2 linked regions of the Struthio camelus genome follow. The protein of the gene in region 2 binds, or shares a complex with, the protein of the main gene of each other region. Links are inferred from orthologs where the notes say so. Each region holds a gene or a part of one and is shown on either strand. Other genes may lie near its edges.

Region 1 (7,818 bases), about 25 Mb from region 2:
CTTTACCAAGTATTCCAGAAAGCAACTACTGAACATAAGTAGAATTATCTTCTGATACAGACTGAATGCTCTGAAAACTGCATTTGCATGAACCTAATGAATATTGCATCCCTGTTAAGGTACACTTATAGCTAAATGTGTGAGTGGGAGACCTCAAGGGAAAGAAAAATAATGTTTTGTAGCTCTGCAGAAATTGAAGAATGCAGAACTTACTTTTAAACTGCAATCTCCCCTTTCCTCTTTTTAATGATAGCAATCATCCATAGTAAAGGGAAGACAAAGCCCATCTGAAATACCAAATCTTTCCAACAGTTACACCATTATTACCAAACGCGTATGTATTCCTCTATTTATGCTGTACTTCCTATTCATGCCAGGAGGTTGCCTATTACACATTTTATGTAAATAGTGCTGCTGCTGCTTCTCCTTAGTAGTAGTATTTTGTGTGAGTCACACAGCTGCACACTGAAACTTCTCTGAGGTTCATCTCCGTGTTCAGGCTGGAGAAGTTCCTGCAGCTAATTACTTTTTCAACTGCAAAGTTTTATGGAAAGCTTTCTTGCCCACTTGAAAAGAACTTGAGCTTACTTTTTCCTGGCGACACTTCAGTTCAGGGACTAGCTGCACAAGGTTCCCAGATAAGACAAAATACTCCAGACTAGCCATCTCAGTAGGCTGCAGTTGGCCACACTGAGCAACATGCCCAAGACAGCAGAGATGATGCAAGTGTGAGATGGCATCTTTTCTCCAGCACTCTCTGGAGGCTGAGTTTTATCCAGCCCTCAGGAAGACTCTTCACAGACCGATTTCACTATTAACCCCTCCACCTCAGATTCTCAAGTGTAAAAGTGATGTGCTCTGCCTCCTCATGCTGCAATCTCGCCAAATACTACAGCTGAAGACTTTTGGGCCTGCTGGGTAATCTAGCCTCAGAGGATAAGGGGCGCTTAAAACAATGCCGGACACAGAAGTAGATGGGTCACTTGTTAAATAGCATTCTTCCTTCTGAGAGACTTAAACAAGAAACTCCAGGGCGCATCTCCCTGCCTGAAGCATTGCTGCACTGGACTGATCTTTCTGGCCAGCACAGCAGAATCAACACAACATCCCTTTGGAGAGTCCAAGAGTCGATTGAGTGTGCTAGGCTTTTCTTACCATGTTTGTAAAAGCTTAGCTGGGAGAAGCAGGGATAGAATAGCTATGGGCAGAAGTATGACAGTTCTGGGGGTATACTTTGGGGGCATTTTGTGCTTAGGCTGCTATGGAGTGAGTTGATGCTTTTGGCACTGAATTGAATCTCCTCTCCTCCTCTCCTTTTTCGGAAGGGATCGGAAGGGAATTTGAATATGAGGAGGAAGGCTAAATTCTTTCTTTGACAGCTAGAAACTGTTTGTGTGGTGCTTTCTCCCAGGACTGAACACTATGGCATAGATAAGCTTGTGGTTTTGGCTAAAACAACTAGCTCTGTAATAGTTAAGTATTTAATAGTCAGGATACTTAGGTAGCTGAAAGCCGGGACAGCTTTGACAGCATAGTTACAATAGCTGACATTGTAACTAGCAAACATTTCCAAGGTAGGAGGTTTTTGTTTATACCAGTAAAATGGAGCTTTTGCTGAGAGAGCTAATTCCAGCTTCCTCAAGCGAAATAAGCTATCCTGACAAAAGCACAGTTTTCTCTGCTTATACCTACAGCTGCACAAGGTGCTTTTGCTGGCACAGCTCTGCCATCAAAGGATCTTATCTCATTACAGCTCTGGCTGACACAACTGTGCCAGGAGACTTGGTAGCCAGGAGACTGACCTGAACATGCTCTGGCCCAGCTCCAGGGTTCACACCCCACTGGGAATAAAGAGGGCAACTTGCAGAATCCACCGTTCATCTAACCTGAAAGGAAAGCATGTGCACAGCCTGGGTGTGAAATCATTTCCCATTTGGAACAAGATCTCTCAGCTCCTTCAGGTGTTGTGTTTTGGGGAGTGGTTTTGGTCTGAATGAAAACTTCTGGGGCTTGATGAGGTGCTGAAATCAAAAGAAGGAAACTGGCTGCATTGTACTTGGCTCGTTACCATATTTGAAAGGCCCTGCCTGTGAGCAAGCACCGATACTGAGGTGTGGGGCTCACGGCCACTGTGCTGCTAAAGCCAGATGAATTCCAGATGAGAGCAAAATGGAAGTCTTGATCACTAGAAGTCATTAACACCCCCAGTTAATCCAAGTGAGTCACTTAAATTGTGTAAAGTGAGACAGTAATGCCCATATGAGTGTTGTAAGGATAACTGCATTAAAAACTATGAAGTACGTTTATCCTTCAGGAATGATGCTCAGGCAAAAACACCAAACAGATGCCCTGCAGATTTAATAAGTGTTATTAATTGTTGTTTTGCAACAGGCTTAATCTGGTCTCAGAGCCTGCTGCCACTGGAAGGCATGGTCTTGCTTGGGCCCCTGCCCCAGCTGCACGCTCCAAGCACCTTCTTTGTGCCAGTGATCTTGGGTGTCTTGCTCATCCCCCTGAACTCCACAAAAGAAAACAGTCATTTTTTCACTTATTCAAAACAACCTGACACTGTCAGGAACCTACAGACCACTAAAGACTGATGCTAAGGAGGGGCTGGCAACATAAAGCAGGAGATGGAGGAAAGACAGGAGCACCCAACTGGGTGGTAGGCAAAGTTAGTCTAGGATGGCAAAACCGTGCCCCTGGTTGTGCAATGCCTTCAATGTGTAAAAGATTCAAAAATTGCCTGAAGAAGATAATGGAAGATCATGTATGCTATACCTTCAAAATGCCTCTGACAGCTCTTGAACTTTTAGGTTTAACGCCAATGTATTGATTTGTAACTACAGAGACAATAAGTGTCACTATTGCAAAGTGAGGGAAGATGTCTTTCTTTTCACGTCAAGCAGTGAAAAAGGTTGGAAAACACTCTTATTTGTCATAATCTCTTGCAGCCTTCACAGGAGGGACTAGTGAGATGTTTGCATTCTCGGATACTGCATTTTCAGAAAGGTAGAGAACATCAACCTTTTCTTACAAACCAGCCTGGAGCAAAAAAGGCCAAGCTATTTTGGGAGATGAGAGATAAGCAAGCCAGAAAGCCTTATCAGAGATTTGTTTTAACTTGCAAAGGTATTTTCTTTGAAGAAAGAATTCAAATAGTTGTTTGAAATGTTCTGTCAGCTCAGATTTGTTTCCAGACAAAACTTGCTCATACACTGTCCTGACTAAGCCCTTTTGGACTAGATTCTTTAATAAGACTCTTTGACTTTCTGGATAAAAAAGTAATTAAAATGTGGGGAAAAAAAGAAAAGAAAAAAGAAAGAAAGGGAAAAAAAGATAAATCAACAGAAATGAATAGCTGATTCAGAAAGCAAAGACTGATCAATATTGGGGCTCAACAGGGATCAGTATTTGTCCTAAGCACTTGTTACTGTACGAATCCAACTTCAGTCATTTCCAAGCAGGATGAGGAGTGAGGAGCTTGGATCTGGGAGGCTTGTGCTTCAGCCAGCACTAACGCTTTTTCATTAGCGGAGAACTTGCACAGCTGCACAGCAAAGGGTTAAAATTGGCTGGAGATTTAATGAAGATTTGAGAAAACAGGCAGAAAGGCCAACTGTAGAAACCGCCCCTAGAGTGTCTCCTCCCCTCCAAGACTGTAGTTAGACACCTAAATTTTGAAATGGAAGAACTAGACATTAGAGGGATCAAAGAAACCCAAGAACGATTGCATTATGGTTGCATTTTTTCCATTTCTTGTAGTCTAGAACGTTATACTCCACTTTAATCTGAGATATACTACAACTGTATGGCTAACACTGCAGACTTGCCTGAAAAGCGCTTAAACAGCAAGTGGTACGTTCCAATTTCTGTCGAAAATTTGACACGTTTCCTTTTAGCATGTTCTTGAATGGAACCTTTCACTCCTTTAGAAATCAAGATTCAAAACTAAGTACCAGTAAAACTTCTTTCCCCACACTTAAAAAAAAACCATGAAATGAAGCGTTTTGTCCAACCCAACCTTTGGAGGAGCCGACAGGTGGAAGAAGGCTGCCCTGTGAGAATAAAACCCGACACAAAATTAAAAGCAGTTAGCTGGCTAGGCGCAGCCGCCCGGCCGGACCCCCCGGCGCCTGTCAGTTAACGCGGCTCCCCTCCTGAACAGGAGCTTGGTGGCGACCGTTGGCAGCGACCGTTGGCCGGCCTTCGCTGACCACGTCACCACGCCAGAGGGAAACGTGAAGGAAAAGGCTCATTTTAGGGGTCAGAGGTGAGGCAACTGATGAACGCGGGACGTCGCCGGCCGCCGCCCGTTCATTTAAGCGGTCGGCAACGTGCGTAAAGAAGGTGGGGATCTTCTCGAGGCTCCGACGCTGCCCCTTCCCCGCGTCACCTAACGCCGACGCCACCCGGCCGGGCCTCCCCCATGCCGGCGCGGGCGGCGGGAAGAGCCGCGCAGGCGCAAACCCTGCGGCACCACGAGGACCCGCGACGGCCGAAGCCCGCCGCGGGAGGCGCCTCCCTCCCTCCCCGGGGTGGGGGGGGGGTGGGGGCGAGGAGCCGGTGCGGGAGGGCAGGGCCGCGGCCCCGCGGAGTGACAGCCGCCGGCTCCAATCAGAGCTGCCGCCCGGCGCTGCCTCCCCCCGCCCCGTCGGGGAGGCGCGGCCCCGGGGCGGGCAGTGACGCCAGCGGGCGCCCGGCGCGGCGCGGCCCCGCTGGGTCCCGGCCGCCGTGTGCGAGGGCGCGGGCGGGGCCGGGCCGGGCCGGGGCGGGCGGTGGCGGCCGCCCGGAGCCCATAGAGGAGGCGGAGGCGCCGCGGCGGAGCCCGCGGGGCGTTAGGCGCAGGTAAGGGGCGCTGCGGGGAGGGCAGGGGGGTCGGGCCCCGGCGAACAAAACCAAACTGCGGTAACTTTGGGTGGCGGCGGGCCGGGCCGAGCCGTGCCCCGACGGCTCCCGCCGCGCCGCCCCCGCGGGCGCTGCTGCGGGGCGGGCCCGGCGGTGGGGAGGGGGTGGCCGGGATGGCGGGGGCGCCCGCGCTTGGGTGCCCGGGGGCGCGCGGGGAAGCTTCAGCCGTGGTTCCTTTTCCGGGAAGGTGAGGGCAGAATCGCCGCCTGGCCGTGTAGTGGGCTTGAAGTTGAGAGCTGGAGAAGAAAGGCTGAGTTTTCCCGAGCTGCTTTCGCTGCATCCTCCCTGGAAGGAGAAAGCAGGGCCGGGTCGCAGGGAGGCTCTGTAGTTAGCGTGTGACTTTCGGGAAACTTATTTGCGCGCCTGGAGCTGGCGTAGCGTTTTGCAGAATTTTGGGGAGAGGCGAGCAAGCTCCAGCTGAGTGTCTTCAAGCTTCAGTAGGACGTTTCAGCTACAAGCGCTGTAAAACTGAAGTTGCGAGTTGTTCCTTGGAACTAGCAGATGTGTTTTGCTTTAAGGCCTGGGTTTTGCACATCCTGTAATTATTTCTTTTAGGTCTGTAATGTTTCTAAAAACTGAAATAGCTGTGTGAACTCACACCCTGGCTGAGGTGCAGCTGTAGCAGTAAAAAGGTGCTTTATACCTATGTAGTTATTTCCGTGTGGGAAAAGAAACAAGCTGTGTTTTTGAATGCTTTACAGTAGTGTAACAGCATGCATGTGCTCTCCTGTGGAAGTGAAGCACTGCTGATGCTGTGCAAAAAGCACAGATGAAGTGTTTAGGGCTCGAGCTCAGCTGTGTCTGAAGCATTCAGAGAGAGACTTTGCTGGTTCTTTTTATTTCAGCCCAAGGAAACACACTATCAACAGCAAAACATGTAAGCATTGGTACGTATTGAAATGGCTGCACGGTTGAGCAATACAAGTGTCTGAATTCCAAAAACTAAACAACAAAAATGGGTCACTCAAAGTGAGAATGTTCTTCCTGCTTGCATGATCAAACATCTGACAGTAAGATGTTCTGGTGTGCTCAAATCCAGATGTATTGCTTCTATTAAAGGTAACAGTCGTAGCTTAAGGATTTATGTTTGTGAAGGACAAAAATGGCTTATGGTTATAATAAAAAACATGCATACGGATATCAGTAAACCCCATCTGCTCAGTGAGGCAGTATGGCGGATAGGTTAGAGAGGCATCCCAGAAACCAGGAAAACTGAAATCTGTATAAACTCTTGATTCTAAATGCAACCAACGTTTTTGTCTCTTCAGCTCTTAATTTCCTACTTGCAAGAAGTAGCGTCCTGTGGTTTAGCTTCAATCCCATTCCAGGAGAATTTGACAATAGGATTTAGTATAATTTCCTAGAAAGCTGTATCACATAGATTGGTTCCTAGAGGCAGAAGGAGTTCTTCTGTTTGCCAGTGAGACTGACTGTCAGCGGGTGCTGCGTTGCTCATAATTTAAGATTGGTGTCCCTGTGCCTGGAGTATGAAGTTGATGTTTCTGTCCTCTCTGATGGCAGCAGAAGCTCCATATGTTTGCCCAGCGGTAGAGCTTGGTCCTTAGCAGCTGATTCTCTATCTTAAGCAGCATTGCTCCAGTTTTGAGGCATACTCTCTTTGAACGAGGTGCTGTTAAGTGTTCAACAGCTGCTGACCCTCTTAAATGCAATGCTGGCGAGAGCCTGAGTCAAAAAGCATGGGTCTGGATTCAAGCATTTCCTCAGCTTTGGTGAGTTTTGACCTGGGTTTTGTGCTGTTTGCTGCCTCAGATCTGGGTTTAGTAGTTCTAGTGAAAAATATTTAAGCTGGTCTGTCTTTTCTGTGTATGTTTACAGCAGCTCTGTGCTCCTGAAATATGGATGAGTAACATTTCTGCTTGTCCCTGAAATGCAGGGTGGAGCACCTTGAAGTCAGGGATGTCACATGAGGCAGAAGACTGTGTTGAATGTGATCTTTTTTTCCACTTGGATCCAGATTGTGGGCAGAAGAGCATGGCCAAGTAGCTGGTCTGCTCTGTGCTGGAGTAGGTAAAGGTAAGAGGGTCTGACAAGAATCCTCTATTTTATTACTGAACCATCAAGTTTCTGAGTGGCTCTCTGGTAGAAGACCCTAGGTCCAAACTGTTCTGTTTTCTTGCTTTCTCTTACAATAAAAATCCAGTTCTGCAGGTGATGAGAAGAAGAGATACAGTGGGAAATGCCTTCTTTTTTGTGGCTGCTTAGAGTCAGGTTGTCCTTGGATGGCATTGTCTATTGCTACTGTTAGAGAACAGTGGGCTCGATGGACCCTCGGTCTGAGCCTGTAGGACGTTTCTTACACTCTTGCTTTTAAGTGCTTGTTTTACTTCTCCTGGGAGCTTCTGCAGCTGCTGTTTCTGGGGCTTTTAACTCCTGTGCAGTGCTGTGCTAGAGGCTCTTCTGTGGAGACAGCTCGTTGCCTCGTTGGGCAGCTTGCCCCTGCTGTACAGTAGTAGCTTCTGAGAAGAGACACCTAACTCGATGCAAAACTGACGCACTCTGTGCGTGGCCTTGCGTCTGCTGTTTCCAGCTGCTGCTAGGGCCGAGTGAGCCAAGGTGTCGGACCGTTTCTGCTCTGGGTTGCACTGCTAAGGCAGTGTAAGACACGTGGCAGGAAGCAACAGTGGGTCCTGATGAAAAGGTCTGTGGAGAGGAATGGGGAGTATTACTTAGCCCACGTCTAAGTAACGATAGGTGTTAACGTTCCTGAACTTGTGGCCATTCCCAGGAGACTGAGGTTCCCATGTGGTGCTGAAAGCCTTTCTGGTCCCATCACTCGCTTGTGATACAGACTATGAAGTCTATTGTCTGAAGTCAAGTCTGAATGGTTGGATGGGGCAGGTCTGAGAACATGAAACACAGTGTGCTATGAGATGTGTAATACAGCATTCT
Region 2 (6,907 bases):
CTTTTCTGCTCTGAGGTTTCCAGTATAGCAACAGAGCAAAGAACACATTCACTGGCCAATCTTTTTCGTTTCACTTTTGAGTAAATGGAATTTCAATATAACCATGACCTTGAGAAGCTGGTTCCCTGGTGCACAGTTAACACTGCCTGCATTATCCTTCAGCCTTGGAAACAGAACAACCTTGCCCCAAGATAGCAGGAAGGAACTAAATACAGAAGGGAAATTAAACTACTGAAAAGTCCTCGTTCTTGGCATTAAATGCAAGAAGGAAAGATTGCAATTATCTAGCTTACTGACACAAACAAGTACTTTTAAACAGTTTAGTTTCCGGTAACTCTTTCCGGGAGACGACAGTCAAATAACCATCTGAGAACACAATCCCTATGTGTGCATAAAATCCAGGTGGTATTAAGATGACACCACCAAATCTCTTTTGAGATGTAGTACTGTGAAAACAAATGATTACCTCTGTAGGAGTTACTTAGATCCTCTAAATTACATCAACTCTTGCTAGTGTAAGCTATTGCTGCAGCAGCCTTGTTCTTCCTCTATGGAAACATCATTTCAGCAAGCCTGCACTGAGCTTTGGATTCATCTTGAAACTTAAAGCCTAGAAAGGTTTGTCTTGTTCCAAGTGTTATTGTCAGCACCACGTATGGCTGCACATTGAACATATCCAGTGCACAAGGGAGGAAAAAAACGTCTTGAGAAATATCAGTTTATCACTCTATAAATACGTTTGTGGTATAGAACAAAGGCGGCAACGTGGTGAGACATCTTGCGTCATTCATCCTCAGACGATCCTGTTACTCAGGGTAGTTTTCAAGACAGATTTACAGAACGCCAGATTATCTTTGTGATATGAACTTTTGGGGGTTTTTGTTTTGGCAAAAAATCAAAGCACATTATTTCTGAGGAATAACCATTACCTTACAGGATGAGCAGACTGTTTGCAAAGCTTCAAAGTTCAAATCAAGATTCCTCTAAGGAAAGCAAAATTAGAGAAACATTTTTGGCTTTTGAAAATTCATTTGTAGTATTTAGGCCAAAATACCAGTGATTGTTATTTTTCTCTGGAGAAATGCCCAGCATGTACTTTATTTGCTGCCAGTAGTCTTTAAAAAGGAAAGGAGAAGATCAAATCAAATTCAGCACTCTTGTAAACGTGGAACTGCATTTAACTTATCAGATGAACTTTGTACTAGATACGATTCAAAGAGTGAACTTCACATGATAATTTGTTCTCTCTCTCAAGAAAAAGAAACAAAGAGTTTTATTTTTCCCTTCAAAGTTCTAGCACCATCTCCACTACAAACTTCTCAGTATTCACTTCCTCCTTCCTTTCCACTGCTCCAAACTTTCTAAGGGTGCCTTATGTTTTTTTCTTCTGCTCATGATTTTAGGTTTCTTTCAAGCTGGAAGAAAACCTAGGAATACTGAATCTCAAACCTTTAAGTTACAACGAGCAAAGAAACAAGCACTCAGTACCAGAAAATGCAAGAAAAATATTTTTACATCTTTAATCCTCATTTACATCATCCTTTAACAACGTATGTTTTTCTCTACCCCAATCTGCCAGAAGGTGACTTTGATGCAGAGAGCAACATCCCTTCAGGCAATCTGTTTCTTAAGGGCAATCATAAAACATGTTAGCTAGAAGCAACACGGGGAAGCAACAAAAACAAAAAACCCACTCACCACAACACTCAGTTCTCATTTCCTCTATACGTTGGATTCCCAAATTCTGACCCAAGAGGAGCTGACCTTAGAGTTATAAAAAGATGTGAAGTGTCTAAGTGCAGTCTGCAGTTCAAAGTGGGGTGGGTCAGGAGGACAGGGCTTGGGCTGCTCTGTTTTTCTGCCATTTTGCTGAACAACTCAAAGAACGTTTCCACAAATGATATCGAAATCTCCTTGTGATCGTTAACAGATGAAATACTAAAGACTTCTACAACTAAGCCTGTTGGAGTCTGATCAAATGCAAAAATTACTCTTTCAAATCCAAGCAAGAGATACCATCTGTGCTTTGTAAGCATCTCTCAAATTTTTCAGTCATTTCAGTGAAACTTGCAAGTCTTTGCATGAAGACTAACTCATTCCATAAACATCTCCTGAGTCACCAGATCTCTTTCAAAGTTTCTTCCTGAAGGTGTTTGCCTCAATTATAAAGTGCCAGTCTATGATGTTATTGCATCATATCATTTCCGCTTTACGCAACTACAGTCTGACTAGCCACCTGGGTACACCAGTGCCTAAGGTACCACTCTTCACTTCCTTTCCTCCACAAAGAGGCTCCTCCCTACAGATATGGCAGCACAAAAGCCTCAGTACTAATTTTGCTTTTAAGTTAGAAGTTGGGCATAAGCAATGATATTTTACAAGCGGTTTGTTTTTAACTACAAAAAGCAAAATCGCAAAGCAAAGTTTAAAAGAAGAATTTACTCCTCCATTAATACTAATTAATTCGCAAGCACATGGAATTTCAGCCAGTACATAATTATAATGATTTTTTTTTTTTTTTAAACTCCTAACTCAGGAGACTACGATGACGTTAACTCTCCCACACAAGACAGTCTTTGTTCTCACTGGCTGCTGAAAGAAAGAGTACCTACTCATCGATGTTGAACTCTCTTCAATCTACAGCTATAAAACTATATAGCCATTCATTAACAGTATATTTTCTCTCAAGCAGATCCTGCATCATTCTGCAGTTTATCCCCAAACTATCTTTCTACTGTAGATACAGATATCTAAGACAGAATACAGAAAGAGACAACCATTCTCTAAGCGAAATATAACATTGCTTTTAAATTAAAGTAAGTCTCTCTAAATTCAGAGCAAGTTGATTTTAAGCATTATTATCTTAACAATTTACCTGTACTGGGAGTTACCTGTTAATTACCCTGGTCACTCATTTTCTTCCCCAGAAAATAGATTCCCCTTCCTCTCAACTTCAGGTGCTCACACCGCTAGCAACTGCATAGAGCAGAAACAAACATTAAATCCTGGATCCCTGAGAAATGTGGCTGAACTTAGTAACAAATACCAGTTCAAAGTCACTTGGTTTGTTTTTCCTGTATTTGCTCTCCTAAGACCTTGACAAACCAACCCCAGGTACTGCATTTAAATTAGAGCTGGGCTTTTTGGTCAAACACTTTTTTTTAGTCTTATGCAAATAACTGCTTTGTCACCTAAAAGTGATCAGAAGAGTCAACAACAATAGGCGTTACTTAACTCCCAGAGCCTGCCAAGCATTTTGCTCACCTTCCGGCAACGTGTGGAATTAGAGCAGCTGGCAACATACGCCAAGTTTCAAGCTGGCTTTGCTCCAAACATGAAAGAGCTTATCCTTCACAGCTAAAAATCTGCATGTAAATGCTGCAGTATCTCCTAAGAGGCAAATATTACGCCACATCTATTTCAGGAATGATTCTGTTTAAACAGCTAGCCACAGGTTTAAGGCAAAAGTGAAACTCTGCAAAGGCCATGCATAAATTTGTTGCAGAACAAGCATCTAGCTTTTGCAGTCTCATTATATGCTTTGTAAAACGTGCATGTGTGTGGGTGCACATGTGGAGCATTCCTGAATAGCAGACTGAAGCATGGACACCGAAATCCAGCAAACCTTCCAGGTAAAGCAATATGATGAAAGCCCACTCACCCTTGCACCCAAAATCCCCTCCAAGGTATGCGATCCTTGACCTGGGGGAAACAGTACACAGAGTGAAAAAAAGTAATATGGCTACTGCAAGCTATTTAACATTTTTACATACTGGCACCTTATGCTATTAGTCATAATGTTGCACAGATACGAATTCCACAAAAACTAGTGGCATACTCCTCTCCTACAATGCATTTCAGACAGGTCATTAAATCAGTTGGCTATCTAGTTGACTGTTAATCTAGTCAGACCGTCCTTCAGGTAAGTGGTTACAAGCCAAAGACTGTAGGTAGGGACAGAAATATGAACTCCCATCTCTACCTTTAGGACTTTTAGCTCCACAAACACAGCACCTTTTGGCTGCCAGTCAACTGTCTGAACAAGCAAGGGAACCAGGGTTATCCATTCCCCCTCCTTTGCCCCGTGCACTCAGATACACCCACATTCTCAAAACAGTTGAAAGCTGAAAGTAACCCGAAGAAGGGGCTGGCTGATCTCAATGGGGTAAAGCAGCACGCAACATTAACCCAAGCTTTGGGGGCTATCATCATTTCATTTCCAAATGGAGTGTTATTATGGACTGTATTACAGCAGTAGAGGCTACACAAATACCTGCTTGCCTTTGAAGATATAATTGGTCCAGGCATTAGCATGCTTTTACCCCTGTTTTTTTCAGGCAGAGATACAACTGCATATGTATGCGAGTGCAAGTATACAGCTCCCTAACCGCTCTACACTACTACTCCCACAAAGAAGTTCCCAGCACATTCTAAAAAATAAGCATGTTGCCCAAGGTCTGACTCCCTAGGGAAAATAACACTGCAAGGTATGGCACCTCCTAAAATGGTTTATAGATTCTCTTAATGACACCATTCTGCACCACATAAAAAAAAATAACTGAACTCAGTGTAATTGACTCGCAACTTAATCTTTGTGTATCAAAATAATCAACAGCACAAAACACATAGTAAGATGATTAACTCAAGTGGTACATTTATTTTCAGGATTTAAAAAACTCAAGAATAAAGATACACAGGAGTGAAACAGAAAGAAACAATGTCAAATTTATCTGCAGTTAGAACGAAGCACTCTGGTTTCAAAAAAACTGAATTGAATTAGACAGACGCGTAAAGCACAAAGTGCCAAAAGAAAGAAGAGAAATTGCACAAAATACAAGTCGAGAACGTGTAGCTCCTCTATACTTGGCTCCCTCTCCTCCTCCCAAGGCATAAATAGCACAAAAAAATCCAACTGCAAAATATATTTAACATTGAGCAAAATCCAACAATATTATTTTACTACAGAATGTACTGATCAATACAAACAGTTTTAGAATTAAGAATATATTGCAGTTCAATGAGATACAAACAACAGAAATTTATCACAGGTCTATGACAAAGGGTAAGAGAATCACTATATCAAACATGACAATAAGTACTCAAAAATCCATATATAATGAACAGATTCAAATCGTTCTGAAGCTGACATTCCCATTTCAGTCCCTACAATTTCTATTTGATCCTTGCCTTTAAAAGGTAAACTCAATTTACTAAAATGAAGATTTAGAGAAATAAATGTGTTTACACACACATGCACACTCTTGTTCAGTTAGAATGACATACTGAATCAGTGGGACTGATTTCCTGTGTAAAACAGATTGATTTAATTAGTCTAAATCAGACTGCTAATAGGATTATATTTGGAAGGTATGACTAAGTACATCACTACACTTACCTGCAATTAGCCCAATGTACATGTGAAATTTATTTGCTCTTCAGCATGTGCTCAGGCTCTGTCTGTTGAGTCAGAAAGCAAAACTTAGTGAACTCTGTGTACGGGTTACATGCAGGTTCTCTGAATGATACTGACTCCTTCCCTTCACTACTACACTCATACCCCCTAATGATATCAGCTCTCCAGCACTAGCGTCACTGTCAGAGAAGCAGAAGCTCAGACTTAGAAGAATTCACAAGGAATTTCAGAGAGTTTTGAAATCTGTAAGTTTTCTTGCATCAAAAACTGTGAAGATATGCACAATGGGATCTTGACGGAAAAGTTTTTTTTGCTTCAATTTGACCTTAATGCTAATTGTATCACACAACAAAGAAGTCATTAGAGGGAGAAAAAAAATCAAAATGTAATCAAAGCTCTTTTCCACAGAGTTAGTGTTTCACTACTACGGAACAATTTTTCCAATCTTAACTCAAATAAAGCCCATTTGAATTTGCAAATATTTCAGTTCAACAAGATTTGCACCCTCTAACAAAATATTCTAAGGGTAGTTTTCTCTAGTTCTAATTACTGCCTTCTTTTAAAAAGCTGAAAGCAACTATTAGTAATTAGCAAAGGGAGGCCAGTGCAAACATTGCGACCTTCTACAGTGTCTTGTGTCAGCAAACTGAACTGGGACTCTTGCAAGCATTAGCACCATGCAGGTTTCCACTATTTCTTCAGTGTATGCTCTGGCTGCCAGATAGTGGAAAAAGAGCTTCATTTTCATCAGACACCCACAAAAAAAAAATATATCTTTTTCACTGCTTAAACACATACATTTTGACCCAATTTAGATTCTGAATGAACTTTTGGGTTAGCTCCATTCTTCCCCAACATTAGACAGTTTCTCTATGCTCTTACAACCACTAAAAATTTGTCTGAAGTTCTTGTCCCAGAAAGCAGCCATCTGACAGAAAACTTGAATTAGGGATGGCTAACAATATGCTCACATCTGGATGAAAGTCTTCCTAAAAATACATATGGACTCTATATTAAATATTGTATATTCAAAGAAATCTGGAGTCACTTTTCAACTGACTTCCATTTGTAACCTAATTTTCAAATAAAAATGGGTATCTTCTATCTTTAGCCATAACATTCTAAAAACTGGTCTATTATAACAAGGAACTCTGACACCTGAGACAGGTACACAAAGAAAATACTTTCAAAAGTTGAGCTAGATCAGAACAATGGCTAAGTATCTTGGCAGATGCCCCAAAAACGCTGCTCTAAAATGCTTCTTCAGCTTTATAGGCCCGGTAATTTCTAAACTCCAACTTAATAATACAGTAGCAACACAGCTGAAAACTGCAGGTGTCAGGAGCAATGATACCATTTTCCCAGTTTTTTCACTCTCCTCCAAGGAGCATCCAGCAGAATTTACTAGGTGCCTTTTTGCAAATGGCTTTTTCTCTCCAAGCACTCCCAGTCTGATATCTGTCCTTGACACCACCACCCCTGAAACCTGCCTTG

What was found. The genes of interacting proteins can lie anywhere in the genome.
Region 1: PHLDB2 (region 2) and PPFIBP1 share a complex: the UniProt entries of both Homo sapiens proteins name them as parts of the cortical microtubule stabilization complex. The link is inferred for Struthio camelus from reciprocal best matches to the Homo sapiens genes PHLDB2 and PPFIBP1.

Annotation. Positions count from the first base shown.
Region 1 is NC_090942.1:77,322,080-77,329,897, forward strand, and holds the start of PPFIBP1 (liprin-beta-1), read left to right. Parts: upstream 1-4,718; 5' UTR 4,719-4,848; intron 4,849-5,102; exon of another isoform or gene 5,103-5,795; intron 5,796-6,802; exon of another isoform or gene 6,803-6,942; intron 6,943-7,818. UniProt on the Homo sapiens protein: May regulate the disassembly of focal adhesions. Did not bind receptor-like tyrosine phosphatases type 2A.
Region 2 is NC_090942.1:102,251,696-102,258,602, reverse strand, and holds the start of PHLDB2 (pleckstrin homology-like domain family B member 2), read right to left. Parts: upstream 3,083-6,907; 5' UTR 2,876-3,082; intron 2,231-2,875; exon of another isoform or gene 1,699-2,230; intron 1-1,698. UniProt on the Homo sapiens protein: Seems to be involved in the assembly of the postsynaptic apparatus. May play a role in acetyl-choline receptor (AChR) aggregation in the postsynaptic membrane.